Macaca fascicularis: one gene and its partner. The protein of the gene in region 1 purifies or fractionates together with the protein of each later gene. This does not show direct contact. Links are inferred from orthologs where the notes say so. Each region holds a gene or a part of one and is shown in the gene's direction. Other genes may lie near its edges.

Region 1 (8,119 bases):
TCTTGTTCTTTTTATTAATAGCCACTATGCCTTTTATTTTTTTGAGATGGAGTCTTGCTCTGTTGCCAGACGGGAGTGCAGTGGCGCGATCTGGGCTCACTGCAACCTCTGCCTCCTGGGTTCAAGCGATTCTCCTGCTTCAGCCTCCCGAGTAGCTGGGACTACAGGCGCCTGCCACCATGCCCGGATAATTTTTGTATTTTTAGTACAGACGGGGTTTCACTATGTTGGCCAGAATGGTCTTGATTTCTTGACCTCATGACGCGCCTGCCTCAGCCTCCCAAAGTGCTGGGATTACAGGCGTGAGCCGCCGTGCCTGGCCCACTCTATGCCTTTTGATTGGGGAATTTAATCCATTTACAGAGTAATTATTAATAGGTGAGGGACTTAACCAGTGCCAATTGTTTTCTGTTTATAGATCCTTTGTTCTATTCCTCCTCGTGTGTGTGTGTGTGTGTGTGTGTGTGTGTGTCTTAATGGCTTTCTGTAGTGGTATGCTTTGGATTTTATCTTTTTATCTCTTGTCTGTCTGTTACAGAGTTTTGCTTTGTGGTTAGCTTGAGGCTTACATAAAAGAGCTTATATAACAGGGTATTTTAAGTTGATAACTTAATTTCAATTGCATACACAAACTATGCACTTTTACACCCCTTTCTCCCATATTTTATGTTTCTGATGTTATACTTAAAATTTTTATATAATATTCCCTTAACAAATTGTTGCACTTTAGTTGTTAATAGTTTTGCCTTTTAACCTTTATACTAGAGATATAATTGATTTACTCACTGCCATTAGAGTATTAGAATGTTTGGATATGACAACGTACAAACCACGCCCAGCCTGGATAAGGGGTTAATATCCAAAATAAACAAAAAACAAGTTTTGTACTTTAATATATTTTCATGTTACTAATAAGTGTTTTCTTCCTTCAGCTTGAAGAACTCCTTTTAGCATTTCCTGTAAGGCAGGTCTAGTGGTGATAAAGTCAGTTCTGACTGAGAAAGTCTTTATCATCCATTTGGTTTTGAAATACAGGATTGCTGGGTATAGTATTCTTGGTTAGCAGTTTCTCTTGCTCTCTCTTTCTTCTCTTTCTTTTTCTTCTCTCTTCTTTTCCCTTTCCCTTTCCTTTCCTTCTCTTTCTTTTCTTTTTCATTTTTAAATATATCATCCCACTCTCTTCTGGCCTGTAAGGTTTCTGCTGAGAAATTCTCTGATAGTCTTATGGAGGTTCCTTTATACATGGTGATATGCTTTTTTCTTGCGGTTTTCAATACTCTGCCATTAGTTTTTGACATTTTAATTGTGATGTGTCTTGGTGGGTCTCTTTGAATTTATCTTATTTGGTGTCTTTTGGGCTTCCTGGATCTGGCTTTCCATTTCCTTCCCCAGGCTTGGGAAGTTTTCTGCCATTATTTCTTTGAATATGTTACTTGTTCTTTTCTCCTTCTGGCACCTGATAATGCATAAGTTGTTCTCCATGATGGTGTCCCATAAGTCTCTTAGGTCATTCTTTTTCATTATTTTTTCTTTTTGCTCCTGAGGTTAGATGATTTCCAGTGACCGGTCTTCTAGTTTACTGATCCTTTCGTCTGCTTAAACTAGTCTGCTGTCAAACCCCCATATTGAATTTTTCAGTTCAGTTTTAGTAGTTTTCAGATCTATGTTTTCTCATTGGTACTTTTTAATACTTTCTGTCTCTTTGTGGAAGTTCTCAGTTTGTTCTTGCATTGCTCACTTGACCTCGGTGAGCATCTTTGTGACCATTATTTGGAATTTCCTGTTGGGTAAATCATATATCTCCAGTTCACTTGGGTTGGTTTTTATTGCTTTATTTTGTTTCTTTTTTTTTTTTTGGGAATATATTTTCCTATTTCTTAATTGTTCTTGGCTGTCTCTGTGTTGGTTTCTGTGCGTTACATGAGACAACTGCCTCTCTCAGACTTCTTAGACTGGCCTTGTGTAGCAGAAGGATCTTGCCAATCCATCCAGCTAGATATTTTAAGATACCCTTTAAATCTTTGTATTTGTTCAGACTGCTGTCTCTATTCTTGGTACTATATTCCATCAATACCCTGTAATCAGTCAGGTAGAAGCCAGATGCTTCGATGTAGCTGGGAAGGTTGAGGTGTTGGGTATGTGTCCTAGTTCCTTCTGTCATCATGTTGAAGATAAGTGCTTGATTCTTCCACTCTCTCTACACTAAGCCGTCTCTGTGGCAAATGCCTATGCTTGTGTTGTGGCTGCACTCTGTGATCCTGGTGAGATAATCTGCTGGAAGTGGGCTCGTAGTATGTCCACCTCTGTTTTCTGTGGTTTAGGGAGATTCAGGAATGCAAAGCCCTGTCACTTTCCAGAGCTTAGGTTGTGAAGGGTACAGTCCCTTGTCTGTGTGGAGCTGTAAAAGTGTGGCACGCAGTCTGTAGACAAACTCCTTTTAGGAAGAATGAGTAGGCCTGGAATTATCAGTGGGATGTGCTGGGGGAAAGGCTCAGGATATGCCAAGTTCCTGCTCAGGCTGCCTGAGGGGTACTGTTTATCTCCCGCATTAGCTCTCTGATGCAAGTTAGAGGCCAGGCTGTCAAGTAGCCACTGGAAGAGTATGTGGTTATAAACCCTTTCTGGAGAGAAAATGAGAGCTGCATGTTCCAGACTCTTTTCTTCACTGCTCCCAGAGAGTGTAGCCCTAGAAAGTATTTGCACACCTGTTTAAAACCACCTCCTTGTTTTCTGATCTAGAGAGACATGCATATGCTTAGTCTCTTCCATTACCAGATCTAGGAGATTTAGGATATAGTCCTTTGGGTAGATGCTGTGCAAATTGAGGCATTTGATGTGTGGATAAACTCCTTCTAGGAGGAATTGGTAGGCCTAGAGTTACTGCTGGGGCAGACTAGGGGGAAAGGCTTGGAAAGTGTCCAGCTGCTGCTTAGGCTGCCAGAAGGCTACTTTTGCACTCCACTGTCCCATTAACTCCCCATGCACGTTAAAAGCCAGGCTGTCAAGTAGCCACTGGAAGACTGTGCCATGAGCCCCTTCCAGGGAGAAATGTGGAGCTTCATGTTTTTGGCTCCTTCTCTGCACTGCCCCCAACGGGTGCAGTCTGTGAAAGTACTTGCATGCTTGATTAAAAGTATCTCTTTGTTCTAGGGATGTAGTGATCTAGGAAGACTTGCACTAGATCCCTCAGCTCCCAGAGCCAGGAGATTTAGGATGCAGGCCCTGGGATGGAAACTGTAAAAGTTGGGGTCTTGATGTGTGAACAGACTCCCAGAAGTACATTTTTGGGATATAGATGATGAAGATGGCTTGTAGCTAGTCCCAAAATAAATATGTTGAATGATAGCAGAAGTCATTTTCAGAAAGTAGGCATTAGTTTTTCCCCTACTGTGACATTCAAGCCCGCTTTGAGGTTCAGTCATGGGTCAAATTATTATAAATAGATTATAGATTATTTGGTACTCACCTATAAAACCCTTTAGGTGCAAGATAAATCCTTCTTAAGCTTGATTTTTTTTTTTTTTTTTTTTTTTTTACAGTAGTTGAGCTATAAGGAGTTCTAGTGTATTTTTGCTTTGAGGCACATGCATGAACGAATGGCACCTTTTTAGCCCTTTATTTAATAGCCTACTTTTCTCATGTATGCTGATGTGATCTTCCCCTGCTCTCCAGATAAACAGGGGTCACATGACGACAGAAGCCAAGAGAGCTGCAAAGATGGAAAAGAAGATGAAAATTTTGCTTGGGGGTTACCAGTCTCGTGCTATGGGGCTCATGAAACAGTTGAATGACTTATGGGACCAAATTGAACAGGCTCACTTGGAGTTACGCACTTTTGAAGAACTCAAGAAACATGAAGATTCTGCTATTCCCCGGAGGCTAGAGGTAACGTTATATATTGAAGCGTTGCTTTAAAAGAGTGCTGCAAAGAATTATCAGGGCTGTCCTCTTTTACTTCTCCTATGTAGGCTGTCTCTGAAGTTGGTACTGTCAGGCTTTTAAAAATGAGAGCCTAAAGTGTTTGACTTTAATCTAGAATTGCCTCTGTGTAGATGGATAGACTAGGCAAGTTGTAGATACAAAGGCCTTCCTTTACTCATGTTCTGTTTCATACGTAGATACACTGTGAAATGGAATACTTAGCCCTTGTAATTTGTCCCCTTGAAACTTGATCACATCCCATTCGTGTAGCTCTGTGAGGGGAAACTAAACCAATATCTTTCTGTTTTATAACTTAGGTGGCTGGGAACATAGCTAGTCCTTCCAAACCATCAAATTCCTTTGACCGGATTTGGATTCAATTTATCTCCCAAATGTGCATAATAGCTCCTGTCCAGCTAAAGGGCAGCCAGGGCTTCTTGAAGTGCATTTGTGGGTACTGATAAGACAGTAGTGGTTTGTTTATTTGAAGTAGCAGCAGGATTTCATATGACCAAATCAAAGAATGGCTGTGATACTGGTTTTATAGCAAAAGTATTTGATATGTTTGTTTCTCTTTGAGAAATTTTTACCTCTTAAGAATCATGATTTAACTCGGCTGGTTTTTAAGATAGTAAAGTACTGTAGATTTTTTTCAATATAGTTACATCTAAAAGAATTACTTAATATTTTTGTTTCTTTAAGTGTCTAAAAGAAGATGTTCAGCGACAACAAGAAAGAGAAAAGGAACTTCAACATAGATACGCTGATTTGCTGCTGGAGAAAGAGACTTTAAAGTCAAAGTTCTGAAGTACAGTTTATATTCTGTCACAGGATTAATTGCCGGTTTTCATACTCTAGAAGGCTGAAACTGATGTTTATCTTCATTGACAAATTTACCCACCATCTGTGGTTTTTTGGTTGTTTATTTTAAATGATATCGATCTTACACATTCTGTGTATAAAGACCTTAACTCCACAGGACGGACATTTTAGAGTTTAAATTATTAAGGCTGTCATTCTTTTAGCAATGTCATATTTGCAAACTTTTTTAGTTTTGGCCTTTAATTTAAAAAGCCTAATTTTAAAGTGCTGCCTGTGAGTAACTCTTAAATAAAAACAAAATATAAAAAATTGAGAATGTAGCCTTTTGTTTTAAGTAATTAGATACTTAAGAGTGCCCGCAAACCAGCAGCTATGTACTCTGTGTCATATTTAATGAGTAACTCTTGGGTAATCAAAATGGTGATGCAGTATCTTAAACACTTAAGAGGCAGTTCTTTGTGGCTTTGTTAGTTTCAGCAAAGAATGGTCATTTCTGTGTACACTGATGAGTTAGATTAACTTTTTAGTACCTCAAATTTTTTTAAAATATCACTTTAAAGAAGGTTTCTTCTCCTCCAGCTACTTAAATAATTTATGGGTCAGGGCTTAAAATATTTAATTTTCCTTGACCCATTATTTTCTTGTAAGTATTTTTTGACAAAGGCATTTTAAAAGTTAATTTCAAGAAGGCCATCAAACTTAAAGCTCTATGTTTAGCGTAAGAAGTCAGTTACATCAGTGTAGAATGTGGGGAATGGATAGAGGTGGAGAGATTTAATTTTATAATAATTCATATAAATTAATTTAGTGTACAGTATCAGTTGGCTATGAGCTCATTATAGGCCAGCAATGTTTTGAGATGACCAAAAACATTTGCCCAGTCTTAGAATACTAGGAACTATAGGAAGGGAAGGGATTCATTCATTCATTCATTCATCAGATATTGAATGTATACCCTGTGCCAGAGTTTTAGAGAGAGAACAATGAACAAAATAGGCCTAGTTCTTGTTTAGTAGAGCTTATAGTCTTTTGAGAATAACAGACAATTAAAATCCAAATGTTTATTTGGTGATTCTTATGTGTCAGACACTTACTTAAGTGTTGGAGATAAGCAGTTATTAAGACCGAGTTCTTGCTGTCATGGAGGTGACATTAGTGGGGAGGAGATACTAAATATGTACAGGGAAAGTATCAGACCATGAGTTTCAGATTCTGTGGAGGAAATTAAAGTAGGGTGATTATGAGATAGTGAATGACTGGCTATTTTAGACTGGACGATCAAAGAGACCTCTTGGAAGGCAGCTGTGCTCACCACTATACCACTGCACTGTACCACACCATACCACTATAAGCTGCATGGCCAAGGAGACCTCTTAAAGAAGTAACATTTAAGATAACATGTGATTGACATTTTAGAATGGGCCATCTTTGTGAGATTCAAGGAAAGAGCATCCCAGGTGGAGTGAATAGCAAACATAAAGCCTCTTTTGTATGTTTGAGGAACAAAAAGGACTATGTGGCTGGAGTGTCAAGAATGGCATTTCTGTATGTAAGGCCTGGTTGTATAGAGCCACATAAATAAGGCTATAATAAGGAATTTGGATCTTACTTTAAATATGATAAGAATCTATGAGAAGATCTAAGCAAAGGAATGACATAATCAGATTTGGTTTTAGAAACATCACTTTATCTCCTTAACTGTGTAAGATCTCACCAGGCTGGGAATAGGGAAACCAGTCCATTTAGGAGCCTGATGCAGTCATCCAGACAAAAAAATAATAGTGATTCTAACTAGGGTCCAGGTAATAGTAGTGGAGATATGTGGAGAGACATGATAGTTGTATTCTTAATAGTCTTATCAGACCATAAATTCATATTTTCCTGGTATGTAGTCACTTAATTCAAATACTTTTTTCAGTAAGTTCTGGGTTTTCTAGGAAAAACTTCAGTATCATCAGTGAATAATGATAGTGGTTCTTCTGATAGTTCTATTTCACTTTTATTGCATGTTTTGTTAGCAGAAATGTTTAGGACAATGTTAAATAACAATAATGATGTTAGACTTTTTTTTCCCTCATTTTAATGGAAATGTCCATAGTTTTTACTTTTAAGTTTGCTGTTGGGAGTTAGATAGTCTTTATCTGAAAGATAGTGTCTCTTTTTTAATTTTTAAAGAGTTTGAATTAGAAATGGCTCTGGAACTTTAAAAAATATACCATTCGGGCATCTATTAAAGCATTCATATAATTTTTCTCATTTGATGTTCTGATGAGCTGTATTAATAGATTTTCCCACATTAAATCATCTTTGCACTCCTGGAATCAGGTAGATTAATTTTTAAAAAGTTTTAAAGGATTTATAGTTTATTTGCATTTTTTGTAGACATATGGATTTAAAAGTCGATCTAATATTAATAAAGGCTCACTTTGTTCTTAAAATTTGAAGTAATGCACAAACTTATAACCTAAAAAAATTGGCAAGAATTACAAAATATCAAAACTGGCGCATCGTAAACTGCATATGCGTTTGCCAGGTAGCAGTGCCACTTGAAATGGTGAACAGACACACTGTTATCCTTTGTTAGTATCCTGTAAAGCCCAGGATTCTTTACCAGCACCACACAGCAATTTTGGTTACTATTTTAACATTCACATTGAGGCCAGGGGTGGTGGGTCATGCCTGTAATCCTAGCACTTTGGGAGGCCAAGGTGGGAGGATCATTTGAGCTCAGGAGTTCAAGATTAGCCTGGGTAACATAGTGAGACCCTGTCTCTATTAAAAAATAATCACAATAAAAATAACCTTCAATACCTTGGTATTGTTCACTAAGGTATTGGTCATTAAGGCATTCATTAAGCTATTGTTAAAATTTTGTTAAGCATGTTAAAGTCTCGGTAACTTTGGGATAGAAATAAAATGTGATAAAAAGCTGAAAGAAACCACCACAAGGGAGAGTCCTTTTTGAAATATTAAAGACATAATGCTGTCTAATAAACGAAATCAAAGAAAAACTACACTACAGTGATTGCAGACTTAATGTTGGCTAACCATGTATCTTCCCTACAAATGCATTTGAATTTGATTTACTAATCTTTTATTTAGGAAATTTACATTTTTACATTAGTGAGATTGGTCTTTTGGGCTATTGTACTTTTTTTTTAAGTGGAGTCTTGCTCTATCACCCAGGCTGGAGTGCAGTGGTGCAATCTCGGCCCACTGCAACCTCCGCCTCCTGGGTTCAAGTGATTCTCTGCCTCAGCCTTCTGAGTAGCTGGGACTACAGGCATGCGCCACCACAACTGGCTAATTTTTGTATTTTTAGTAGGGATGGGGTTTCGCTATGTTGGCCAGGCTGGTCTTGAATTCCTGACTTCAG
Region 2 (7,036 bases), on another chromosome or scaffold:
AGGCTGAAAATCCTTTTCTCTTAATGACTTTCCTATGCTGTCTCTCAGACAAGAAACACGGAAGTAAAAAATGAATAGATTAGATTCTGGTAATGTTCAGTGGTATGAAAAAATGAAACAGGGTGATGTGATGGTGTACAAACACAAGTGTTGGAGGGGTGGGGGTAGGAAAACTTCACTGTGATACCTGAGACATGAAGGATGGTGATACAGTTATCTTGGGGCACAGGCAACAGAGAAAAGCTAGTGCAAAGGCCCTAAAATAGAAGGAATCTTGCCCTGTTTCGTAAAACAGAAATGCCCAGTTGGCTGTGTCTAGAGCTTAGTGTGTAAGCGAGTGACTGATTGGAAGTGAAGTCTGGAAGTTAGGCAGGAGCCAGACGCCGTGGCGTCTCAGGTCACATTAAGAAATGTGATTTTTATCCTAAGTGCAGTGAAATTTTACACAGGATAGTAACACCATTTGATTAATTTTAAAAGATCACTCTCTTGGCTATATGCAGCATTGACTGTAGGATAAAAGATGACGCAGGAAGATACAATAGGAAACAATTACAATCCAGGTAGGAGATGGTGTTGGCCAGGACAAGGGTAATGGCAGTAGAATAAAATTTCGGGTAAGTTTTAAAAGTAGAATTGGTAAGACCTGTAAATGAACCGTATGTGAAAAGTGAAAGAAAAGGAATTTAAGTAGGCACTCTGGGATTTTGGTTTGAGTAACTAGTATGATGATCGTGTCCTTTAGTGAGACGTGTAAGACTGGAGGAGGGATACCTTTAGTAAGAAAAATCAAGATTTTCATCTTGAACTCTATGAGTGAAAGGGCTTTTTCTGCTTTTCTTTCTTCATTTAAAAGTTGCAAAGAATTTAGAGGTAAGAAAGCATTTAAATATTCAACTTTGTGAGTTCTTTATATTTTAAACTAAGTTGGGGAAGTTGAATTTTCATTTGTTTAACAAATATTAATTGAGCAGCTACTATATGTCAAGGTCTATGTGATGAGATACTAAGATTAGCTAAACAATCAAGATCTCTGTTCTCAGGATTTTTTTTTATGGAAGGGAGGAGACAGGATTGGTGGGTTTTTGGTTTTTGGGTTTTCTCCTTTTCGTTCTTATTAAAACTTAACACTTAAGTAGCCATCTTAGTAATTACATCTTGTGCTCCTGGCAGTTGGGCCCACCGTTCTAAACGCTGTCGTAAATATTGACATCTCCCCTCCCACTAAAACTAACGTTTTTTAAATAAAAAATTTTAGCAAACATTACGAATACAACCTTTGCTTTGAAGTGTTAATATTTTTGCAGGAATGTACCTTTGTAAAGATCGTGGTTGCCCCGTACATATTTGTTCTTTCTTCATATCCAATTAAATGAAAACACTAGTTTTTCCGAAGCCCAACTCTCTAGGTTTGTTGGTTCTAGCTCAGGAGAAAGGATGGAAGCAGGAGTCGTTGGATTTAAACAGTTTGGTGTAATCCTTTTCCACGCTCTCTCCCGCTAGCCGGGGACGTGGTGTCGGCTACCCGGGGCTTTCCGTCCACGCAGTACCGGAATGAAGGAGTCTGGGAGGGGGTCGGGGACGGAAAAGACGGAAGAGACATTAAGTAATTGGTTCTTGAAGGTATAAAATGATGTTTAGGGTCTACTCTAAGGCACTGATTTCAAACGCCCGCCCCCTGGGCCGTTTCGGCCCCGCCCCCTAGTGCCGTTACGCCGACTTCCACTTCGGCCACTGCGGATTGGTCGTTGCTTCCGCCTCCGAAGCGCTTGGATTTTGCTTCCGGGTCGTAGGCGCTAGCCCTGGGCGCAGAGGTTTCTGGGAGCTCGGAGTCGTAATGGCGTCTGTATGATCTTCGGAGATTGCTGCATCGGACCTCGGCCAGTGTGAGCGGCAGGAGGATAGGTTATCTTCCTCATCCCGGTGGGACGGGAAAGGGCAGTTGGGGTCGGAGTCGGCGGCAGAGTGCAGAGTGCGGGCGGTGGAGGACCTAGAGCAGCGGGCTAGGGGCGAAACGGAGTGCCTGTCAGGCGCGTCCGGAGCTCTCGGGCCCGCAGAGGAGATCGCAGCATAAAAGGCAGCGCGCCTACCGCGTAAAGCGAACCCCAGGTCCTCCTTTCACTACCCCTCGCACCCCTGCGGCGCTGGGCACGGGTTAAGGGGCAACGAGTTTCTGGTTATAGCCAAAGACTAGCTCACGAGAGGCCGGAGTAATAATTCCGTTAGTGTGTGGGAAGGGGCGGACTCCCAGCTCCAGATAACCCCGTTTCTTCTTTGTATACATGTCTCTTACTCTTTTTGAAAATTAGGAGAAAGCACTCCCCCCCACAAAAAAAAATCCTCCCAGTTCGCCCACCCTCCCCACACACTTGCTTTTCCGACACTAACAGGGTTTTAATGACTGCATCTGCTAGGCAGTATTCTTGTGACTGCTCCAAGCAGAAAGTAACTTAAGGAATGGGTCCCTGATTTTTGTCATCAGAATCCTCTGGGGCTGAGGTTCCTGTTTTGTTTTTGTTTTTGTTTTTTTTGAACAGTCCTTAAGTTATAACCCACAAACGATCTGATTTATAATATGATGCCTGTTGTAGGAGAAAATTGGCTCAACAAAAGGTTAAGAATTTTTTTCTATGTACCTGTCATTGAAGTTTAACACACTTTCCTTAGTAACTTTTTTCTCAGACACTTAGTAACTTTGTCAGTGATATTTTTTGTTTGTTTTTAGCTTTTGTTTCTACTAGCCTATTTGCTATTGTGTGAAGTTTAGATAAAATGCAAACCTTAGAGAGTCTGGTAGAGTAAGGTTGAGTTGGAAATTTTTAAAACTTAGTCATGGTAGTACTGTATTTTTCAAGGCTTTTGACATGTCAAGTGTCATAATTCTTATAGTAATCCTATGAGGAATATCTCCATTCCACGGATGACAGAAAGTTAAGCCAGGTGACTTGCTCAAGCCCATATAGTCAGAAGGAGAATAGGGATGCAAACTCAGATCTTCATGACAGAATTTTTTGTACTAAGACAAGCCGGAGAAGCCCTATTCGTTGTACGGCCTAAGCCTCATAATTTGTTTTCCTGAAAACTTTTGTTTAAGAAGATTAAGCAGGTTTAGGGGAATGAGTTTTAGAATTTATTTCACTAGTATGGATATTAATACTCTGTAAAATGAGTGTTTGTATTGTTGTAAATAACTTGATTATATTTTTCTTCAAAGCATAAAAGATGACAACAGCAGCCAGGCCAACCTTTGAACCTGCAAGAGGTGGAAGGGGAAAAGGAGAAGGTGATTTGAGCCAACTTTCAAAGCAGTATTCAAGCAGAGACCTACCCTCTCACACAAAGATAAAATACAGGTAGTAAGACTTTCTTTTTTTTCTTTCTTTTTTTTTTTTGTTGAGACAGAGTCTCGCTTTGTCGCCCAGACTGGAGTGCAGTGGCCGGATCTCAGCCCACTGCAAGCTCCACCTCCCGGGTTCACGCCATTCTCCTGCCTCAGCCTCCCGAGTAGCTGGGACTACAGACGCCCGCCACCTCCCCCGGCTAGGTTTTTGTATTTTTTAGTAGAGACGGGGTTTCACCGTGTTAGCCAGGATGGTCTCGATCTCCTGACCTTGTGATCTGCCCATCTCGGCCTCCCAAAGTGCTGGGATTACAGGCTTGAGCCACCGCGCCCAGCCTCTTTTTTTTCTTGTTCACAAAACAAGACCAAATCTGTTAAATGGCATGGTCATGATATAGTAGTATGTTCGAGTTATGTCACTTATCTATTATCATAGGATTAGAATGCAATAGGATGTTTAACACTAAAATTCTGCCCTGTGGTTTTAAAATGCAAAATTCCTACTAACCAGAAATTTTCGTATGTAGATACAACAATAAATAACAGAAATAATAATGCCTCAGAGAGATTATGCACTATCAGCACCAGTCAATATATTAAAAGTATTACTGTTAAGTTCTGAGTTGATAATACCAATAAAAATTAAAGACATTTTAATCACGTAAAGCCTTATTATAGGAAAATACGTGATTGAATTTGGACTTCTTGAAATATTGGGAACATCACAAGAGTGGCTGTTAGTAACTTTCAGATTAGATTATGATCTTATCTACTTCCCTTTTTTATGCTTGAAGGACAAAGTCTCATTCCTGAATTGTCTTCCATTACCACAGTCGTGTGTGTGTGTATGTGTGTGTGTGTTTAAGTAACATTTTTGCCCTGGTTTGTTTCTACTTTAGACAAACTACTCAGGATGCCCCTGAAGAGGTTCGTAACCGTGACTTCAGGAGAGAGTTGGAAGAAAGAGAGAGAGCTGCTGCAAGAGAGAAAAACAGAGATCGTCCAACCCGAGGTACCAACACTATCCAAGACATTTATCTCTAAAATTATGTTGTTGATAGTTTTTCTTTTATGTAGCAACTGGAAAATATTAACCATTTGTTTGCTTTTACAGATTGATGTGAGCTGTAATACTTTCTTAAGTCATTAGAGATAACAATAACAAATATTTACCAAAGGCTTATTTGCCCAGGCACTGTGGATGTGATTTCACTGTGGATAATGCTTTCAGTGTGGGCTCCTCGTGCCCACAGGTCCCTAAAACATTTTAAGAGATGCAGTATTTGTTTTACTAAGTTAAGTGATTTTTGTTTCCCCTCAGAACATACAACCTCCTCTTCAGTGTCAAAAAAGCCACGGTTAGACCAGATTCCTGCTGCCAACCTTGATGCAGATGACCCTCTAACAGATGTATGTTTTGTTTTCTCCTTTCATCTCTAATAATTGATTTACCATGTTTTTCTGAAATACTTGTTATGCCTTTGGCTTTAAGAAGTGACATATATTTGCTTGCTGTTATTCAAATATAACCCTGACCTCAGTGCTAAACTTTATAGTTGATTTTAAAACAAAAAGTATTATTTTGTGGGACTTTTAAGAACAAGTTTGGTCTCTAGAGAACCAAATATGGAAGGAATCTTAAAAGACATGCTTTCCCGCAAAATAATGTCCTGTACTAAACTACTGCACTATGGTGTGTTACACACCTCTACAGGGCACTCTTCACACTGGGTTTCCTATAAACAGTGCCCTCTAGAGTTGTACCTGGAGGCCTTTCCACATTAGATATGCCCCTTTCTATAAGTGGAGTACACTTAATGGTTCCCTCTGTGCTTAGTGAGGGAAGTAATCTAAGCAGAAGGTTTTTAAGGATTAGCACATCAGTTAATGATAAAATTCTGTGGGACCCTAGAGCCTATAATCAGTTTGCAGTTTTCTACATACAGGACAGTGAAAAACCTGAGTGGCATCCAATGAGTAATATCTACCTGTGTATACATATCAGCAGTTAATTCTAGAGTTAAATGATGGAGTTACTCATAATAGTTAAAACAAGAAACCTAATTTCAAGTGAAATTTAATGATTATTCATTTGAAATTATTTTCTTCTGAGAAATTAGCAGTTTTTTGCACTTTTGATTATCTTTACTTGCTAGCTTAAAGTTGTTTTGAGCTACATAAAATTGTTTTGACTTTCTTAGGGTGATATATTGTACATATGTACTGTGTTTTGGTAATGTATATTTTCCCTCCAATCTTCTGGGCTCTCACTGTTCTTTTAGGAAGAAGATGAAGATTTTGAAGAAGAAAGTGATGATGATGATACTGCAGCTCTTCTTGCAGAACTGGAAAAAATTAAAAAGGAAAGAGCTGAAGAGCAGGCCAGGAAGGTAAAACCAAAGTGTTAAATATTTACATCTCTCCTCTCACATATACTAAAGTAGAAATTTTTTTGAATATAAGTAATACCTTCTTATATTAGAAATCTCCCTTACTGTGTCTAAATATTATAGCACTTGTAGATCTATAAATCTTATTATTTTTGTGACATCCTAGGTATTCTGGTTATGTTAAAAATTCTTTCCCAATAGTTCAGATACATTGAGTAATATTCACCAGCTTGCTAGTCATTCACTAGTTTATTCATTTGTTCAACATTTAGTCAATATCTGTTAATTGACAGGAGAATCAAAGATGATCAAGATATAGTCATGGTCTACAAAGATTATCTCTCTGTCACCTGCCTAGGTACTATTAAGGCAATTAGTCAGTAGATATTATATAACCTAGGTCAAGCTACCTAACTTTGCTGAGCCCCCACAGTCTCTCCGTTTACACAATATGAGGAAAAAATATAAAACTCAAAGATAGTTAAAACTCTTAATGAATTACCCAGAGTGATAATAAGAGGTGAAACTGAGGAGGCAAGCACAAGTCAGAGCATTAGAGATTTGCAAAACAATGCTGAAGGAGTCTAGATTTTTTTCTAAAGGACATGAGGAGCTGGTTGATTTAAGCAGGAGATTGATAAAATTGGATATGCATTTTAGAGAGATTACTCTGGCAAAAATACGCAGGATGGATTGGAAAAAAACTGAGTTAGGAGGCTGTTTCAGTAATCTTACCAATTAAGAGACTCTTAACTTGTATGATAGGAGTTGGAATTAAGATAAGTAATTAGATGCTGATAGAACTGATTATCAAGGAGGTCAAAGTGGGAAGGGGAGCAGGAAAAAATAAAAAATAAAAGAAGTAGAGTTGACAAAGTGACTGATTGATTGTGGCAGCAGAGAGGACCCTCACTTTGTAGGTAAATGTTGGTGCTGTACATCAATACAGGGAATGCAAAAGAATTGCCATATTTATACAGAGAGAAGAGGTAGTTGATGAGATCTGTTTTGAACATACTGAATTTGACACATTATAAGACATTCAGGTAGGGATGTTTTCAACCAGAGCAGCACAGCTTTTTTGTAGATTTCTGTGTAAAATTTTATTTGATGCAAGAATTGTTCTGTTTTTAAAAAAGAAAGTAAAAAAATATACTACATGGTCAATACCAGGAATCTAGGGAAGTGAGTTCATGTGAATCAGAAGGGCCAGGGAAGAATTCAGAAAAGAGGTAGAATTTGGGATGGACTTTGATGACTTAGAATTCAGATTGGAAGAAGGAAGGCACTTTAAAATACAATTCTC

Evidence for each region. The genes of interacting proteins can lie anywhere in the genome.
Region 2: the proteins of CDC5L (region 1) and CWC15 purify together in Homo sapiens (affinity purification with mass spectrometry; 4 studies listed by BioGRID and IntAct, with this or other methods). This does not show direct contact. The link is inferred for Macaca fascicularis from reciprocal best matches to the Homo sapiens genes CDC5L and CWC15.

Annotation. Positions count from the first base shown.
Region 1 is NC_088378.1:127,066,788-127,074,906, reverse strand, and holds the end of CDC5L (cell division cycle 5-like protein), read left to right. Parts: intron 1-3,672; coding exon 3,673-3,885; intron 3,886-4,623; coding exon 4,624-4,728; 3' UTR 4,729-7,754; downstream 7,755-8,119.
Region 2 is NC_088388.1:93,954,373-93,961,408, reverse strand, and holds the start of CWC15 (spliceosome-associated protein CWC15 homolog), read left to right. Parts: upstream 1-1,808; 5' UTR 1,809-2,109; intron 2,110-3,214; 5' UTR 3,215-3,222; coding exon 3,223-3,353; intron 3,354-4,239; coding exon 4,240-4,352; intron 4,353-4,661; coding exon 4,662-4,750; intron 4,751-5,622; coding exon 5,623-5,730; intron 5,731-7,036. UniProt on the Homo sapiens protein: Involved in pre-mRNA splicing as component of the spliceosome. Component of the PRP19-CDC5L complex that forms an integral part of the spliceosome and is required for activating pre-mRNA splicing.